2 linked regions of the Macaca mulatta genome follow. The protein of the gene in region 2 purifies or fractionates together with the protein of the main gene of each other region. This does not show direct contact. Links are inferred from orthologs where the notes say so. Each region holds a gene or a part of one and is shown on either strand. Other genes may lie near its edges.

Evidence for each region. The genes of interacting proteins can lie anywhere in the genome.
Region 1: the proteins of GTF2H4 (region 2) and MNAT1 purify together in Homo sapiens (co-immunoprecipitation; 3 studies listed by BioGRID and IntAct, with this or other methods). This does not show direct contact. The link is inferred for Macaca mulatta from reciprocal best matches to the Homo sapiens genes GTF2H4 and MNAT1.

Annotation. Positions count from the first base shown.
Region 1 is NC_133412.1:133,859,136-133,866,776, reverse strand, and holds the start of MNAT1 (CDK-activating kinase assembly factor MAT1), read right to left. Parts: upstream 3,982-7,641; 5' UTR 3,902-3,981; coding exon 3,813-3,901; intron 1-3,812.
Region 2 is NC_133409.1:152,142,409-152,150,032, reverse strand, and holds the start of GTF2H4 (general transcription factor IIH subunit 4), read left to right. Parts: upstream 1-2,893; coding exon 2,894-3,030; intron 3,031-3,291; coding exon 3,292-3,396; intron 3,397-3,784; coding exon 3,785-3,916; intron 3,917-4,502; coding exon 4,503-4,599; intron 4,600-4,690; coding exon 4,691-4,779; intron 4,780-4,995; coding exon 4,996-5,107; intron 5,108-5,268; coding exon 5,269-5,337; intron 5,338-5,519; coding exon 5,520-5,603; intron 5,604-5,849; coding exon 5,850-5,982; intron 5,983-6,162; coding exon 6,163-6,293; coding exon of another isoform or gene 6,294-6,312; intron 6,313-6,943; coding exon 6,944-6,991; intron 6,992-7,123; coding exon of another isoform or gene 7,124-7,143; coding exon 7,144-7,222; intron 7,223-7,624. UniProt on the Homo sapiens protein: Component of the general transcription and DNA repair factor IIH (TFIIH) core complex, which is involved in general and transcription-coupled nucleotide excision repair (NER) of damaged DNA and, when complexed to CAK, in RNA transcription by RNA polymerase II.

The DNA.
Region 1 (7,641 bases), on a different chromosome or scaffold from region 2:
GAGCCAAGATGAGGTCGGGGACAGTGGCTCACACCTGTAATCTCAGCACTTTGGGAGGCCGAGGCGGGCAGATCACCTGAGTTTGGGAGTTCAAGACCAGCCTGACCAACATGGAGAAACCCCGTCTCTACTAAAACTACAAAATTAGCCGGGCGTAGTGGTGCATCTCTGTAATCCCAGCTACTCGGGAGGCTGAGAAAGGATAATTGCTTGAACCCGGAAGGCGGAGGTTGCGGTAAGCTATCACACCATTGCACTCCAGCCTGGGCAACAACAGCAAAACTCCATCTCAGGCCGGGCGTGGTGGTTCATGCCTGTAATCTCAACACTTTGAGAGGATGGATGTGGCTGGATCACCAAGTTAGTAGTTTGAGACCAGCCTGGCCAACACAGTGAAACCCCCATCTCTACTAAAAATACAAAAATTAGCCGAGCATGGTGGCATGCACCTGTAATCCCAGCTACTTGGGAGTCTGAGGCAGAAGAATCACTTGAACCTGAGAGATGGAGGTTGCAGTGAGCCGAGATCATGCCACTGCACTCCAGCTTGGGTGACAGAACAAGACTTCGTCTCAAAAAAAAAAAAAAAATCCAAGATGTTTTTCTTATCAGAAAAACATCTGATAAGATGCTTTTAAACATCTTTTAAAATGCAAGATTTTAAAAAATACTATTACCCAATATTGGCAATAGGAATCTCCATACAGTTGTTGGGAACATAATTGACAAGATCTTTTTTTTTTTTAAAGATGGGGTTTCCCTACGTTGTCCAAGTTGGTCTGGAACTGCTGGGCTCAAGCAATCCTCCCTCCTCAGCCCCGAAGTAGCTAGGATTACAGGTAGGCACAACCATGCCTGTCTTGACATAATCTTTTTTGAGAACAACTGGGCCATATTTATCAAATTTAAAAGCCAGAAACTCTGACCCAACAATTCTACTACTGGACATTACCCTGTGATTTTTACCTGTTATATCTTATGATATACTGGCCTAAGTGCTCAAAGATATATATATAAAGATATCAAAGATATAAATATATGCATATTTATGGATGGTTACTCCAGGGAAAAACTGAAAATTAAATAAATATTAATTTTTAAAATTTGGGTAAATAAATTATATTTGAACAATGGACTACTATCAAATTGTTAAAAGAAAAAAACATATGCATATTGATCTAGAGAGATTATCCAATATACATAATGAAAAAAGCAAGGAAATATATACATATATACACACATATATATGTTTCTGCTATATTCCTGTTTATGCTAAAGGAAGAAAAAGTTTTCTACCCAAACACACCCATGTTTACATATGCATAGAAAATATCTGAAAATATACACAAACAACCTAAAAGTTGTCACCTCTGGAGAAGTGAACCACGAAACTTTTTTTTTTTTTTTTTTTTTTGACAGAGTCTTGCTCGGTTGCCAGGTTGGAGTGCAGTGGCACAATCTCAGCTCACTGCAAGCTCCGCCTCCTGGGGTGAACTACAAAAATGTTTACCTTTCACTTAATAATTTAGGTTGCTTTTATTATTGTTTATATAATTTTAATTTTTTTAAATGATTGCCAAAAAAATCAGTGAGTTCTCGCCTCCATTCAGAAACAGCAGTGTGTTAGCTTAAAGTACTTCTTTAAAAAGATGACTAATTAGATAGTCAACATGCTAAAGAAAATTACAACAGAGTCGTTATAATCAAAGCTGTATTTTCATGTTTTATAGTGTACCGAAATCATTTAAAGCTAATCATTATTGTGCAAGTATTTCATAGCAGGCCAAGTAAGTCCTGTTTTAATTTTATTTCTACTTATCACCCATGCCACACGCAAAGAATATTAATAATAAAATAGCCAATATATAGTAAACAAATATTATGTGACAGAAACTCTACTAAATATCTCTAAATATTTTACATATATTATTTAATACTTAAGGACCATGATACAAGCAGCAATATTTTCTCTATTGTACAAACAAGAAAAACTGCTAACAAAGAGTTAGTCATTTGCCTAAGGCCACAGAGCCGGTAAAAGAATGTGAAATCAGACAGGCTCATTCCAAAGCTTGTTCTCTCAGCCAATATGCTACAGCCTTTTACTCATTTTGTTCACATTTCAAGTCAAAAAAGGACTGTAAAATGTAGCCTGTTATCTAACAGGTTAGCAAATTAATCAGATTAAATGCAACACCAGAATGAATTAGACAAAAGTCTTAACTCTTAGACCTTAACAAAAAGGGCTGAGGACACAACAAAAGCAATTTCAATTAAAATAAATATTTTATAATTGCCTAATGAAAATGCCATTTATGTTAACTGAAATCATATAATCCTCCCTGAACGCTAATTGCTGCTAGGCCAGAAAATTACATTTAGCATCCTTCTGGTAAATTACATTTAGTTAGCATCCTTCCCAAAAAAATAAACTCTCTTTCCTGTTCCACTTTCCTGTTTCCACTATAACAAACCTGATAAAGAAAAATGGAGAGAAATTGAACGAAATCTCTCTAAAAACAGTCTATCTACAGTGTTTTCCACATAGAATTCCCTTTTCCATGCATTCTTCTTGATTACTTTTACCTTACTTCTAATCTTAAACCATTCAATCACAGCTCTACTATACTTCCTTTGCAGAGTAAAGCAAAGGAAAATAAAGATTAGAAAAGTTAAGTAAGCTAATAAATCCCATATAATAATTATAGCTACAGCTAATCATGTAATTTATGCTTAGCTAAAGACCCTGTCATTGCTCTACGTTTTTGTCAGCATTTGGGGATTGGGAGGAGACCTTGTCTACACACTGTAGATTATCCATTATTTTTTGCCTCCAATAAACCTCAAAGAAACTACAGGAATATGTGCTCACCATTACATGGCACCTTTTTATCCCAAAGTGCTTTCTAGAACCACCTTCACTAAACCACATCTGACAAGAAATCTGGCAAGAAACACTTTGACCAATTCCTGTTTCAAAATACACAAACTCAACCTCCCTCCTTCTACCCCCTTCCCTTGAAAATGGGCGTTCTAAAGTCAGACTTCCTGGGTTCCAGTTCTCTCAAGGCCCACTTAATAAGGGCCCTTGAGCAGTCTCGATTTCCTTCCCTGTGAAATGGAAATACCAGTACCTACTTCATGGGACTGTTGTAGGAATGAACTGAGATAATTCATGGTAAGGCGCTTAGAACACTGCCTGGCACAAAATGTGCACTCAAATGCCAGCCATTATTATATCTTCAAAATTAACTACCTAGAGTCCGGGTTTTCTTCATTTTAATGATGGGAGTCTAACCGAACTCCATCAGGACAAGTGGGCATACACATGGGGTTTTTTAATTAACTCATACAATAAATAGCAGCAGTATATACTCAAGCAAATTTTAAGTTTTCATAGCACTTTCGCACTTTTTCAATAAAAACATTTCATATGAAATAAACCCTCCAATCCCCCACGCTTTTAATCAGCGATGTCTAGAGCCCAATAAACACCACAAAGCCTGGAAATACAGTCGGGATACTACTCATTGGCTATGGAGGAGGGAACCTGACAAACTGCTGGGAGCCACACTGAGAACCCGCAGTTCAAAGCATGCCAGAGCCGCTCGGGGCTAGCGGCTACCGTCCATTTAAAGCCACAACGCCGTCTTTTCCCATTTCCTCACCAATGTTGAAACTTCAACACCACCAAACTTCTTCAACAACACCAACGCCCTTTGCTCCCACTAAAACGAGGCCTAGCATCTCCCGGCCCTCTCCTCCCACCCAGCACGTCTCTCCCCCAGGGAATCCACTGCCGCCCAACTCACAGAGTGTGTCCGCACACATTCACCATCAGCTTCAAGGAAGGGTTCCGATATTTGGTGGTCTTACACCGAGGGCAACCCTGATCATCCATGGCGGTTTCCCTCCTACAGACTCCCCCGGGCGCCTGCTTCAGCCACAGCCACCTTACAAGCCCCCTCAGACGCGACCAAGCAGGTTCCTACCAACAGGCGCTTGGCAGAGATGGTCCCTTCGCGAAAGAGCACCGGCCAGGGGCGAGGCGCTGCAACACAAACGTTCCGGCAGTCAGTTCCCCGGTCTTGCATCTAGAGCTTGGTCTTAGCCTTCCGTAAAGCAACTTAATACCTTGAATTTGACAGGGGAACTTTTAAAATGGCAAATTAAACACAAATCCGTGTCTCCACGCACCCAGTTGCGTTTTTCAAGGTACTGTGTCACAATTAGGAAGATAAATTCCATCTTGTTCTGTCTGGAAACATTCCCATGATTTCAAAGATTTATGAGCAGAGTACTTATTTTCTTTTGGACCACTTAATAGCCTGTGCTTTATACTTCTTTATAATTGCATAGTCATGTAAGCTCGGCTGATAATATGCATTCGCAGATATAAAATTTGAAAAAGCTATCTACTCCCCCATCAGACAGTATTTATTTCCCCAAATACCTAGGATAAAATCACGTAAGAATACATGGCCGGGCGCGGTGGCTCAAGCCTGTAATCCCAGCACTTTGGGAGGCCGAGACGGGTGGATCACGAGGTCAGGAGATCGAGACCATCCTGGCTAACACGGTGAAACCCTGTCTCTACTAAAAAATACAAAAAACTAGCCGGGCGCGGTGGCGGGCGCCTGTAGTCCCAGCTACTCGGGAGGCTGAGGCAGGAGAATGGCGTGAACCCGGGAGGCGGAGCTTGCGGTGAGCTGAGATCCGGCCACTGCACTCCAGCCTGGGCGACAGAGCGAGACTCCGTCTCAAAAAAAAAAAAAAAAAATACATACAGAAGAATTTAGTTCAGCAATTCCAAGATCTGATAGCCTGAATATCTATGTAAATTGTAAACCATGTTCATCACATTTATCAAGAAGGCAAATTGAAGTCTGTAAACAGCTCTATTAAATAATAAACTTTCCCACTGTAAAGGACACATCTTATTCATCTCCAAAATAAAGATTTGTTGATATTTAATAAGTAGACTAAGTGAAGAATTAATGAATGACTATCAAACAATAGTGTAATGTGAAAATTTTAGTGTCATTTTTGTAACCACCTTCACCTGACCCAAACTCCATCAGAAGGCAATATGAAAACAAGATTTTTGGCCGGGCGCGGTGGCTCAAGCCTGTAATCCCAGCACTTTGGGAGGCCGAGACGGGCGGATCATGAGGTCAGGAGATCGAGACCATCCTGGCTAACACGGTGAAACCCCGTCTCTACTAAAAAATACAAAAAACTAGCCGGGCGAAGTGGCGGGTGCCTGTAGTCCCAGCTACTGGGGAGGCTGAGGCAGGAGAATGGCGTGAACCCGAGAGGAGGAGCTTGCAGTGGGCTGAGATCCGGCCACTGCACTCCAGCCTGGGTGACAGAGCAAGACTCCGTCTCAAAAAAAAAAAAAAAAAAAAGAAAACAAGATTTTTCAACTAATCTTATACAATGAATATGAGCTATATGCATTTATAGTAATTTTAACTCATCATAGAACTTGTGTTCTTTTCAATAAAAACATAAAAAGGAACATTCCAACTCACATTTTTAAACAGTGAACCTGGTAGGCAACCCAAAACCCAATACAGTTGGGATTTCCATGGGTATGGAGAGGGACGCTGACAAACAGCTGGATACCACACCCAGGAACGAGCAGATCAAAGCAGGCTGTGACAGAGCTTTACATTAGTATGAAGACATCAAGGATTCATCTAGTAAATAAACCATATCATCTCTTTGATCATCATATTGTTCCTCAACAGGAGTTAACCAAACGTAAACTTACTAAAATAGGTAACACAAAATACTATGCTACTATGCTGACCTGGAGGCTTATTATGCTGCTGCTATTGTCTTATTGAAAGACCACATCCAGACCAGTTACATGATTCAGAGTGAAGCTCTTCAAGAACAAAGGCCACTCTAGTACCTTTATATTTCAACAGAACAGGAAACTTATGTTGAAAGAATGTTATATGTGCAAATAAAATTTGTAGCCAATACTACATTGAGGTCATCCACTCAGATGGCATTATAGTTTAATGCCACTAGGACAGTTTTTGTTTGTTTGCTTGTTTGTTTTGAAACAGGGTCTCCTGTTGCCCAGGCTGGAGTGTAGTGGCCCGATCATAATTCATAGCAGCCTTGAACTCCTAGGCTCAAGTCATCCTCCCACCTCAGCCTTCTAAGTAGCTGGGACTACAGGTGCTAGCCACCAGTCCCAGCTAATGTTTTTTTGTTTTTTTTTTTTTAAGAAATGGGATCTCACATGTTGCCCAGGCTGGTCTTGAATTCCTGGGCTCAAGCAGTCCTCATACCTCAGGCTCCCAAAGTGCTGGGATTACAGGCATGAGCTACCATGCCCAGCTATCCAGGACAGTTTTAATTATGTCTTTGAAGATGAGACCCCAACCACATTGTGAAGTGAATTGCTTTTCCTTTCTCCCGAAACTTAAGATTAAGGCAAAGAAAGCACTAAAGATTGTGAGAAGTAGCATTGCTACAAGCTTTATCCTTTTCCTAGGTGGGAAACTACTAACTTGGAAGGATAGTAGCAACAGCTGACTTGGAAATCTGTCAGATAAGCTTTACTTATGGACCTAAAGACAGTAGAAAATAGCACTTACAGATTTGGTCTCTAGTACCAAGAGAGTTGAATTCAAGTGCTGGCTTTATCACATGATTTATATGACCTCAAGCCTCAGTTTTCCCAATTCTAAGTTCAGGATAGTACTTGTAAAGAATAAAAGATACTTCATTTAAAGTACATAGCATAAAGTAAGAGCTTAGTAACTGCTGGCCATTATTAATAGTAGCATTAGTATAGTGGCAGTAGTATTATCTAAAAGAGGCGGGATAATACAATAACAAGAGCCCAACCTTCTTTTACATCAGTCAGACCTGTGTTTGAAGCAAATTTCCAATCCTCCCTTACCTCAGTTTCCTTCCTGCATATAATACACTTCATTAAATTGCTGTAATATTTAAATTACATGACATAGACATATATAAAGGCCCTACTATATTAGGGCCTCATACATTACAGAAACTCTGAAATGCACATCATTATCACTGGTGGGGGTCAATAACATGGAATGGTCAGAGCTTTGAGGCGGAAAGCACTGACAGCACCAGGTTCTTAATTAAAATGGAACCTCAGCCTGTGTAGAAAACCACCAAACTCAAGTTTCCTACATTTCTTTTTTTTTTTTTAGGAGAAAATAATTTGTCATCCATAATATATAATTTTGAAAGATTAAAAACACATGCATCTCAACACAAATTTTATTTAGGTTCTTTTTTTTTATTATTATACTTTAAGTTCCAGGGTACATGTGCACAATATGCAGGTTTGTTACATATGTATACATGTGCCGTTTTGATTTAGTGTACCCATTAACTCATCATTAAGTATTAAGTATTTCTCCTAATGCTATCCCTCCCCCATCTCCCCATCCCATGACAGGCCCCGGTGTGTGATATTCCCTGCCCTATGTCCAAGTGTTCTCAGTGTTCAGTTCCCACCTACGAGTGAGAACATGTGGTGTTTGGTTTTCTGTCCTTGCGATAGTTTTCTCAGAATGATGGTTTCCAGTTTCATCCATGTCGCTACAAAGGACATGAACTCATCCTTTTTTATGGCTGCATAGT
Region 2 (7,624 bases):
GACCCACCTGCTTTGGCCTCCCGAAGTGTTGGGATTACAGGCCTGAGCCACCCTGCCAGGCCTCTTTCTTTTCTTTTTCTTTCATTATTTCTTTTATTTTTTTAGCTGCTCCTTGCTGAGCAGGGCTAAGGAGTAAGCAGTGGTCTGCCCCAATGTTTCCATTATGTTTCTTTTTCTTATTGCTTTGTAACAGCTTTTTGTATTTTGTTTATTTCATCAATCATTTCTTCCTAGATTGTAAATTGTCTTTCAACCTTACCTAAAGTTTGCCATAAAGAAGCTTTGTCAATTTTTAGCTGTTCTTTGAAGATTTTAAAACATTAATTGCTAAAAAAAAAAAAAACAGGGACAACAGAAAACATGGGTGGGCTACAAAGTATAACAAAGTCTTACGTAGTCATCACCATTTTGATCTCTGGTCTCTTGCAAATGTGCTTCAAACCCCAGCTTGGGCACTTTCTGTCTGATTGTAGGTATTTTTTTTTTCCTTTTTTTTTTTTTTTAAGAGATGGGGGTCTCAGGCTGGGTGCAGTGGCTCACGCCTGTAATCCCAACACTTTGGGAAGCTGAGGCAGGTGGATCACCTGAGGTTAGGAGTTTGAGACTAGCCTGGCCAACATGGTGAAACCCTGAGACCAGCCTGGTCAACATGGTGAAACCCTATCTCTACTAAAAATACAAGAATTAGCCGGGCGTGGTGGTGCGTACCTGTAGTCCCACAGTTACTTGGGAGGCTGACGTAAAAGAATCACTTGAACCCAGGAGGCTGAGGTTGCCATGAGCTGAGATCATGCCACTGCACTCCAGCCTGGGCGACAGAGTGAGAGACTCCGTTTCAAAAAAAGAGAGAGAGAGAGAGAGAGGGAGAGAGCGCGCGATAGGGGTCTCACTCTGTCGCCCAGACTGGCGTGATCATAGCTCACTGTAGCCTCAAACTCCTAGTCTTCAGCGATCCTCCTGCCTCAGCCTCCCAAGCAGCTGGGGTCACGGGTCTGAGCCACCTCGCCAGGCTGCAGGCAAATTTCTTAATCTCGCCAGGCTCCAGTCTTCCAGTCTATAAAATGGGAATAACAAAATTTGCTTATAGGAATTTGCGGAAATGTGTAGTTCTGGGTTTGGGTGAAGACCTCTGCCTTTCTCTGTAGTAGGTTCATAAATCAAATCACAGCAGTCAGTGTCCTAAAAACTGACTTTATCTGGGTTTTCTAAGTAGACGGTTTGAGGAGTGGTGGAGAAAAAATTTGAGAAGAAATTAAGATTTATTGAGTACTTACCGCCAAGTAAGGTGCACTGGATCATGTTAATCGTTAACTCGTGGAAACTCTTCGGAGTGTGTACGCTTTCTTTCTTTTTCTTTTTTCTTTTTTTTTTTTTTGAGATGGAGTTTCGCTCTTGTCGCCCAGGCTGGTGTGTAAGGGCATTGTCTTGGCTCGCTGCAACCTCCGCCTCTAGGGTTCAAGCGATTCACCTGCCTCAGCCTCCCGAGTAGCTGGGATTACAGGTGCCCGCCACCACGCCCGGCTAATTTTTGTATTTTTAGTAAAGACGGGATTTCACCATATTGGCCAGGCTGGTCTCGAACTCCTGACCTCGGGTGATTCGCCCGCCTCGGCCTCCCAAAGTGCAGGGATTACAGCAGTGAGTCACCGCGTCCGGCCCGGAGTGTGCATTATCCCAATTTTACGGGGAGTAATTGTGCTCACGGAATCCAGTTTTGTGGTCCCTAAGTCTAATCGGTTCACCACCAAGTCGCCACAGCGCGCCTCCGCACGGAAGCCCTCCAGGCACTTCTACTTTCCCCGACCCGCCTCCCGCTCCATCGGGTTACATGCGCCGTTAGCAGCGTGGGCGGAGTTGGTTCTGGCAGAACCAACTGGTCCGGCTTCTGGTGTCTCCCGCTCTCTCAATTAAAAGCCGGCTCCTTGCCTTTCGGCTTCCCCACCGTGCCTTTCGGGATTTGTAGTCAGACGCACTTCAGCCGGCTCTAAGGAGAGCAAAGACAAGACTCCAATTCCCAGCATCCCCCGCGCCGGGAGTGTGCATCGTCTATTCTAATCCTCTTCACTTTTCCACTCCTCCCCTTACCTCCCTTCTCTTCTGAATTCTCCATTCTGGGCTCTTGCCTGTGAAATCTTTCGTCGCTTTCCCCATCTTTTCTTCGCATTTTTTCACCATCTTTCCCTCAGTTTCCAGGAGCCAATGCGAGACTTTGGCTCCGATTAAGCGACGGCCCGAGACTCGGGGTGCGCGAGGAGGATCGACAGAGTGGTGAGGGGACCTAGGAGGGCGGGAGTGGGAGAGGTATGAGAGAGACAGGTGAGTGAGAGGCGAGGAGTGGGAGGAAGGCAGGGAGAAGCTAGGAGATCGGAAGGCGTGGGTCAGGGTGAATGGGGTGAACTAGACTTGGGAAGGGAAAAGAGGTGGCTTTAGATTTGGGAAGCATGGAGGGGAGAGGTTACCGCCGTACTTAGCAGAAGTGGGCTAAGAGATAGAAGATAGGAAGTTCGGGTAGATTTGGAGCTTATAGACTGATCTGACCAGGAGGGATGGAAGAGAGAGGTGTGGGCTCAATTTTCTTTGTCTCTGTTTAGCCGAAGATGAGACAAGTCATTGAAATACAAAATGATCTTGCAAACACAGGACAGTTGACAATTCTGTCACTTGGAGCAGAGGAAAGACTGGAGTTGAAGGGCAGAAACAGGGTGAGGAGGCAAGAAAGGGATGGAGATTGGTCAGGTTTTTGAGAAACCAGAGGAATTGAGTGTCATGGGAAAGGAGGCCACAGAAAAGGTGGGGTTATTGTGGGGACTCATGGATCTGGAATCAGAAAGGTCAGGGGTGACACTGGCATGGATGGTGGGGGTGCGCTTCTGATGTCTGCATTCCTCAGGTGATGGAGAGCACCCCTTCAAGGGGACTGAACCGAGTACACCTACAATGCAGGAATCTGCAGGAATTCTTAGGGGGCCTGAGCCCTGGGGTATTGGACCGATTATATGGGCACCCTGCCACTTGTCTGGCTGTCTTCAGGTGAGGATCCCCTTCATGGCAGGGAAATGTAATGGGGTCTGCGGACTGGAATAAAATATAACAGATAAAAGTGTAGCAGGCTGGGGTAGGGGTGGGGACTCGGGGTGCGGCTTGGAAATTGCTCCAAAGTGTGGGGGCCAAAACAGCAGGACTGGTAAAGTTGTGGTGGAGTGAGATGAGATGTTTGAGAGTTAATTGAGGGCAGAGATGCAGATACAATGCAGCTTCTGATATTAACCTTTGACCTCTGTCCCTGTTCAGGGAGCTCCCATCCTTGGCTAAGAACTGGGTGATGCGGATGCTCTTTCTGGAGCAGCCTTTGCCACAAGCTGCTGTAGCCCTGTGGGTAAAGAAGGAATTCAGCAAGTAAGTCTCAGCCAGATACAAATTTCTCAACAGCTACATTTCCCAAACTACTGTTCCTTGGAGCACTTCCAGGACGTATTAATAGGTATATCACAAAACTTAAAAATAAATACATTTGGGAAACTCTGCATACTGCCTTTTCCCTTTTATTTATTTCCCAGCTGACCTCTTGCTTTCAGATGTATCTTCCCTCTTACAGAGTTATGTGTGATATCTGTAATAAGGCTCTGATAGGTAATGCAGTAAAGAATTTGTCTTCAGATACTAATATCACTCTGTGGAACAGTGTTCCAAGGATCAGCAAGTTCAGAACAGGCAGAGAGGTGGCTTTTATGGTCCTCCTTTTTGTTCTCCAAATACCCTGCTCACCTCTCTGCTTCTGTTCCAGGGCTCAGGAGGAAAGTACAGGGCTGCTGAGCGGCCTCCGGATCTGGCACACCCAGCTGCTCCCAGGCGGGCTCCAGGGCCTCATCCTCAACCCCATTTTCCGCCAGAACCTCCGCATTGCCCTTCTGGGTGGGTATGTCACTTCTCTCTCTTCCTAAGCTAGGGCAGGGGAACTGCTGCTTATTAAACCGCTAATTACAGTTTGGGAGGGGGAGCTCCTGGGGGCCTCCCCGGAACCTTGTGGTCTCCACGTTGGGAGCTCCTTTAGGAGTAAGTTGGATCAGCTGCAGTGTGTGGTGTAGGAAATGTCCCCCACTCATGGCCCCTGAGGATAAGGGTGGAAAGATGGCAGAAGGGTGGCAAGGAACACAGACAGGGTTCCTTACTCTTTTTTTGTTGTTTTGTTTTGTGTGTTTTTGAGACAGAGTCTCGCTCTGTCACCCAGGCAGAGTGCAGTGGTGCGATCTTGGCTCAATGCAGCCTCCACCTCCTGGGTTCAAGTGATTCTCCTGCCTCAGCCTCCTGAGTGACTGGGATTACAGGCAACCACCAGCTAATTTTTTGTATTTTTTGTAGAGATGGGGTTTCACCATGTTGGCCAGTCTGGTCTCAAACTCCTGACCTCAAGTGATCCGCCCATCTTGGCCTCCCAAAGTACAGGGATTACAGGTGTGAGCTCCTGGCCAGGGTTCCTTACTCTTGGCCCATCCTGGCCTTAGGGGGAAGGCCTGGTCTGATGACACAAGTCAGCTGGGACCAGACAAGCATGCCCGGGATGTTCCCTCCCTTGACAAGTATGCCGAGGAGCGATGGGAGGTAAGCACTTGGGACTGTGTGTGTCTCTGCTTGTGCTTCTACTTCCCATGGCCCTTGGGGCATGGTCTCCCTGTTCTCTTCTGTTCTTCAGGTGGTCTTGCACTTCATGGTGGGCTCCCCCAGTGCAGCTGTCAGCCAGGACTTGGCTCAGCTCCTCAGCCAGGCTGGGCTCATGAAGAGGTGAGGAAACCGGAGGTATAGCAGCTCTCTGCAGTGCCATCTCCTTGGGTCCCTAAGAAATGGTATCTGCGGCTAGTCAAGCTCAGAGGACATTAGCTGGAAAAGGCAAGCTGAGTAGAATACAGCCAGAGATACAAAGAAAAAATGTGAGCGGACAAGTGGGGGTAGTAGTCTTTCTCTGCATATCACCGTCATTGTCCCGGTCTTTGTCTGTAGTACTGAACCTGGAGAGCCGCCCTGCATTACTTCCGCTGGCTTCCAGTTCCTGTTGCTGGACACGCCGGCTCAGCTCTGGTACTTTATGTTGCAGTATTTGCAGACAGCCCAGGTGAGGACGCCGGGGCCACTTGCCAGCATGCTCTGCTCCTCTCAGGTCTCACTGAGAGATTCCTGCCTACAGACTGTTCCCTGATTTTCTCTTCTCTGTCCCTTTCTTCCCATTGTCTCCCTCCCATCCCTCCTCCTTTGTCTCTGCCTCTTTCTCCCTAGAGCCGGGGCATGGACCTAGTAGAGATTCTCTCCTTCCTCTTCCAGCTCAGCTTCTCTACTCTGGGCAAGGTAAGCAGGGGGCTGAAGGGTATAGAGATGGGAAGGAAAAAGCAAATTGTGGGGCAGTAGAGTGAGAAGATAAGAATGAACACAGAACGAGCAGAGGTGGATGGAGAAAGACAGAATGAATGATGGGGTTGGGGGTGGGTGGGTTGTGTTTTGGACCCCAGCTGGAAACCTCTGTTCCTCAGGATTACTCTGTGGAAGGTATGAGTGATTCTCTGTTGAACTTCCTGCAACATCTGCGTGAGTTTGGGCTTGTTTTCCAGAGGAAGGTATGAGCGCCTAGATGAGTGGCTTCCAGGGAAGAAACAGGGTGGTGTGTTGCCTTCGCCTTTAAAAAGGAGTGGGGTCCCGGGGAAGTAGCAGGAAGCAGTTGCCAGAACTGAATACTTGGGTCTCTTGGGGGAGAGAAGTTGGAGGTTGAGGTTCTGCATCTTGGGAGGGATCTGATATTTCAGGCAGGAAGATGTAAGGCAGTGAATTCTGAGACAAGGCATCTGCCTTTCTATCCTTTCCAGAGGAAATCTCGGCGTTACTACCCCACGCGCCTGGCCATCAATCTCTCGTCAGGTGTCTCTGGAGCTGGGGGCACTGTGCATCAGCCAGGCTTCATTGTGGTGGAAACCAATTACCGACTGTATGCCTACACAGGTGAGGCGGGACAGAGTGCCCCGGAAGAGAAGGTTGGGGGTGAAGGAATGCCAGTTTCTGTTCATGTTTACCTGGCAGTTTTCAGAGCTCTCTGACATTTCTCATGACACTTGAAAGAAGGGCTTGAGGGAGTCTGGGTGTGGGGGTGGCCTCCTCATCCTCTTTCTATCCCTGGCTCAGAGTCGGAGCTGCAGATTGCCCTCATTGCCCTCTTCTCTGAGATGCTCTATCGGTTCCCCAACATGGTGGTGGCGCAGGTGACCCGGGAGAGTGTGCAGCAGGCAATCGCCAGTGGCATCACAGCCCAGCAGGTATTCCCACTTGGGAGAGGTAGAGCAGGAAGACAGGCTGCACTTGGGCTGTGGGGCACAGAGGGTCACATTATGGAAGGCTAGCTCTGAGTCTGTTATAATAGGTGGTGGTGAGTTGTCTGTGTTTGAAAAGAAATGAAGGCTTTGGGTGTGAGAACAGGTAGACTCTTGAGGGGAAAGAAACATAGAGGGAGGAGGTATAGCTGTGGATTTGTGCCTTGGCACCACCACCTCCTAACTGCGTAAACTAGACATAGTTGTTTTGCTTCTGTGAGCCTCAGTTTCCTCATCTAGTAAGTGACAGTTCTTACCTCAGGGTTGCAGGGATAATTCATTGGAAGAATAGGCGTAAAGCATTGAGCTCAGCACCTGTCATGCAATAAGTGCTTAAAAAAAAAAAGTAGCTTTTGCTATTTTAAAGAAAGAAAAACAAAACATTACTGGAAAGGGTGAATGTGCCAGAAAAGGAATATCCCAAGTTGCTGGGAGCAGCAACTTGGGATAACAGCTGAACTGGGATGGGTAGAGTTGATGACAGGAGTTAGGAGTTTTTAGAATAAGCTGATGTTCCAGTGACATTAGGTGACAGCTCAGATGGCTTTCCTGCCTTCTTGCTGGAGCCCTCATGCCATTCTTGTCTGTTTTCCTAGATAATCCATTTCCTAAGGACAAGGGCCCACCCAGTGATGCTCAAACAGGTACAGACAGGCTCCAAGATGTCAGAGGCTGGCAGCTGGTGATGAGATGATGGAAAAGAAAAAGGGGCATCCAAATCTGGGGAAGAAGCGGAGGGCCGGGTTGTCTGGGGCAGTATTCCTGAGTCCCTACAGCCAACCCTTGCTCCTTGCAGACACCTGTGCTGCCCCCCACCATCACAGACCAGATCCGGCTCTGGGAGCTGGAAAGGGACAGACTCCGGTTCACTGAGGGTGAGTAGCTTCTGGTGGCCAAGTCTTGGTCACTGGCCAGAGAAAGGGCAGACAATTCAGTCTTGATAAAGTGTAAAAGCTTTTCATGCATTTTATTTTTTACTTCATGGACTAGGAGAGAAAAGCTGGCAAGACAGTTTTTTTGTTTGTTTGTTTTGGGGTGAGTCAGTAGTAAACAAATCGTCCCAAATCAATGCACTTTGGATTTGGCTAGGAGAGGGAATAATTCACAGTAATTTGTATTAGGCCTTTCTGAATATGGCCGGATCACACTGGTGTTAAGATGAACCCCTGAGCCGACAAGCATAGAGAATTAGTTTCTAAAATCGCGGTGAGGGCGAGCCCAGACCGCGTCCAGGGCTGCCATGAAGGAGCTGGGGGGATTCCCAACAGGAGCTCCGA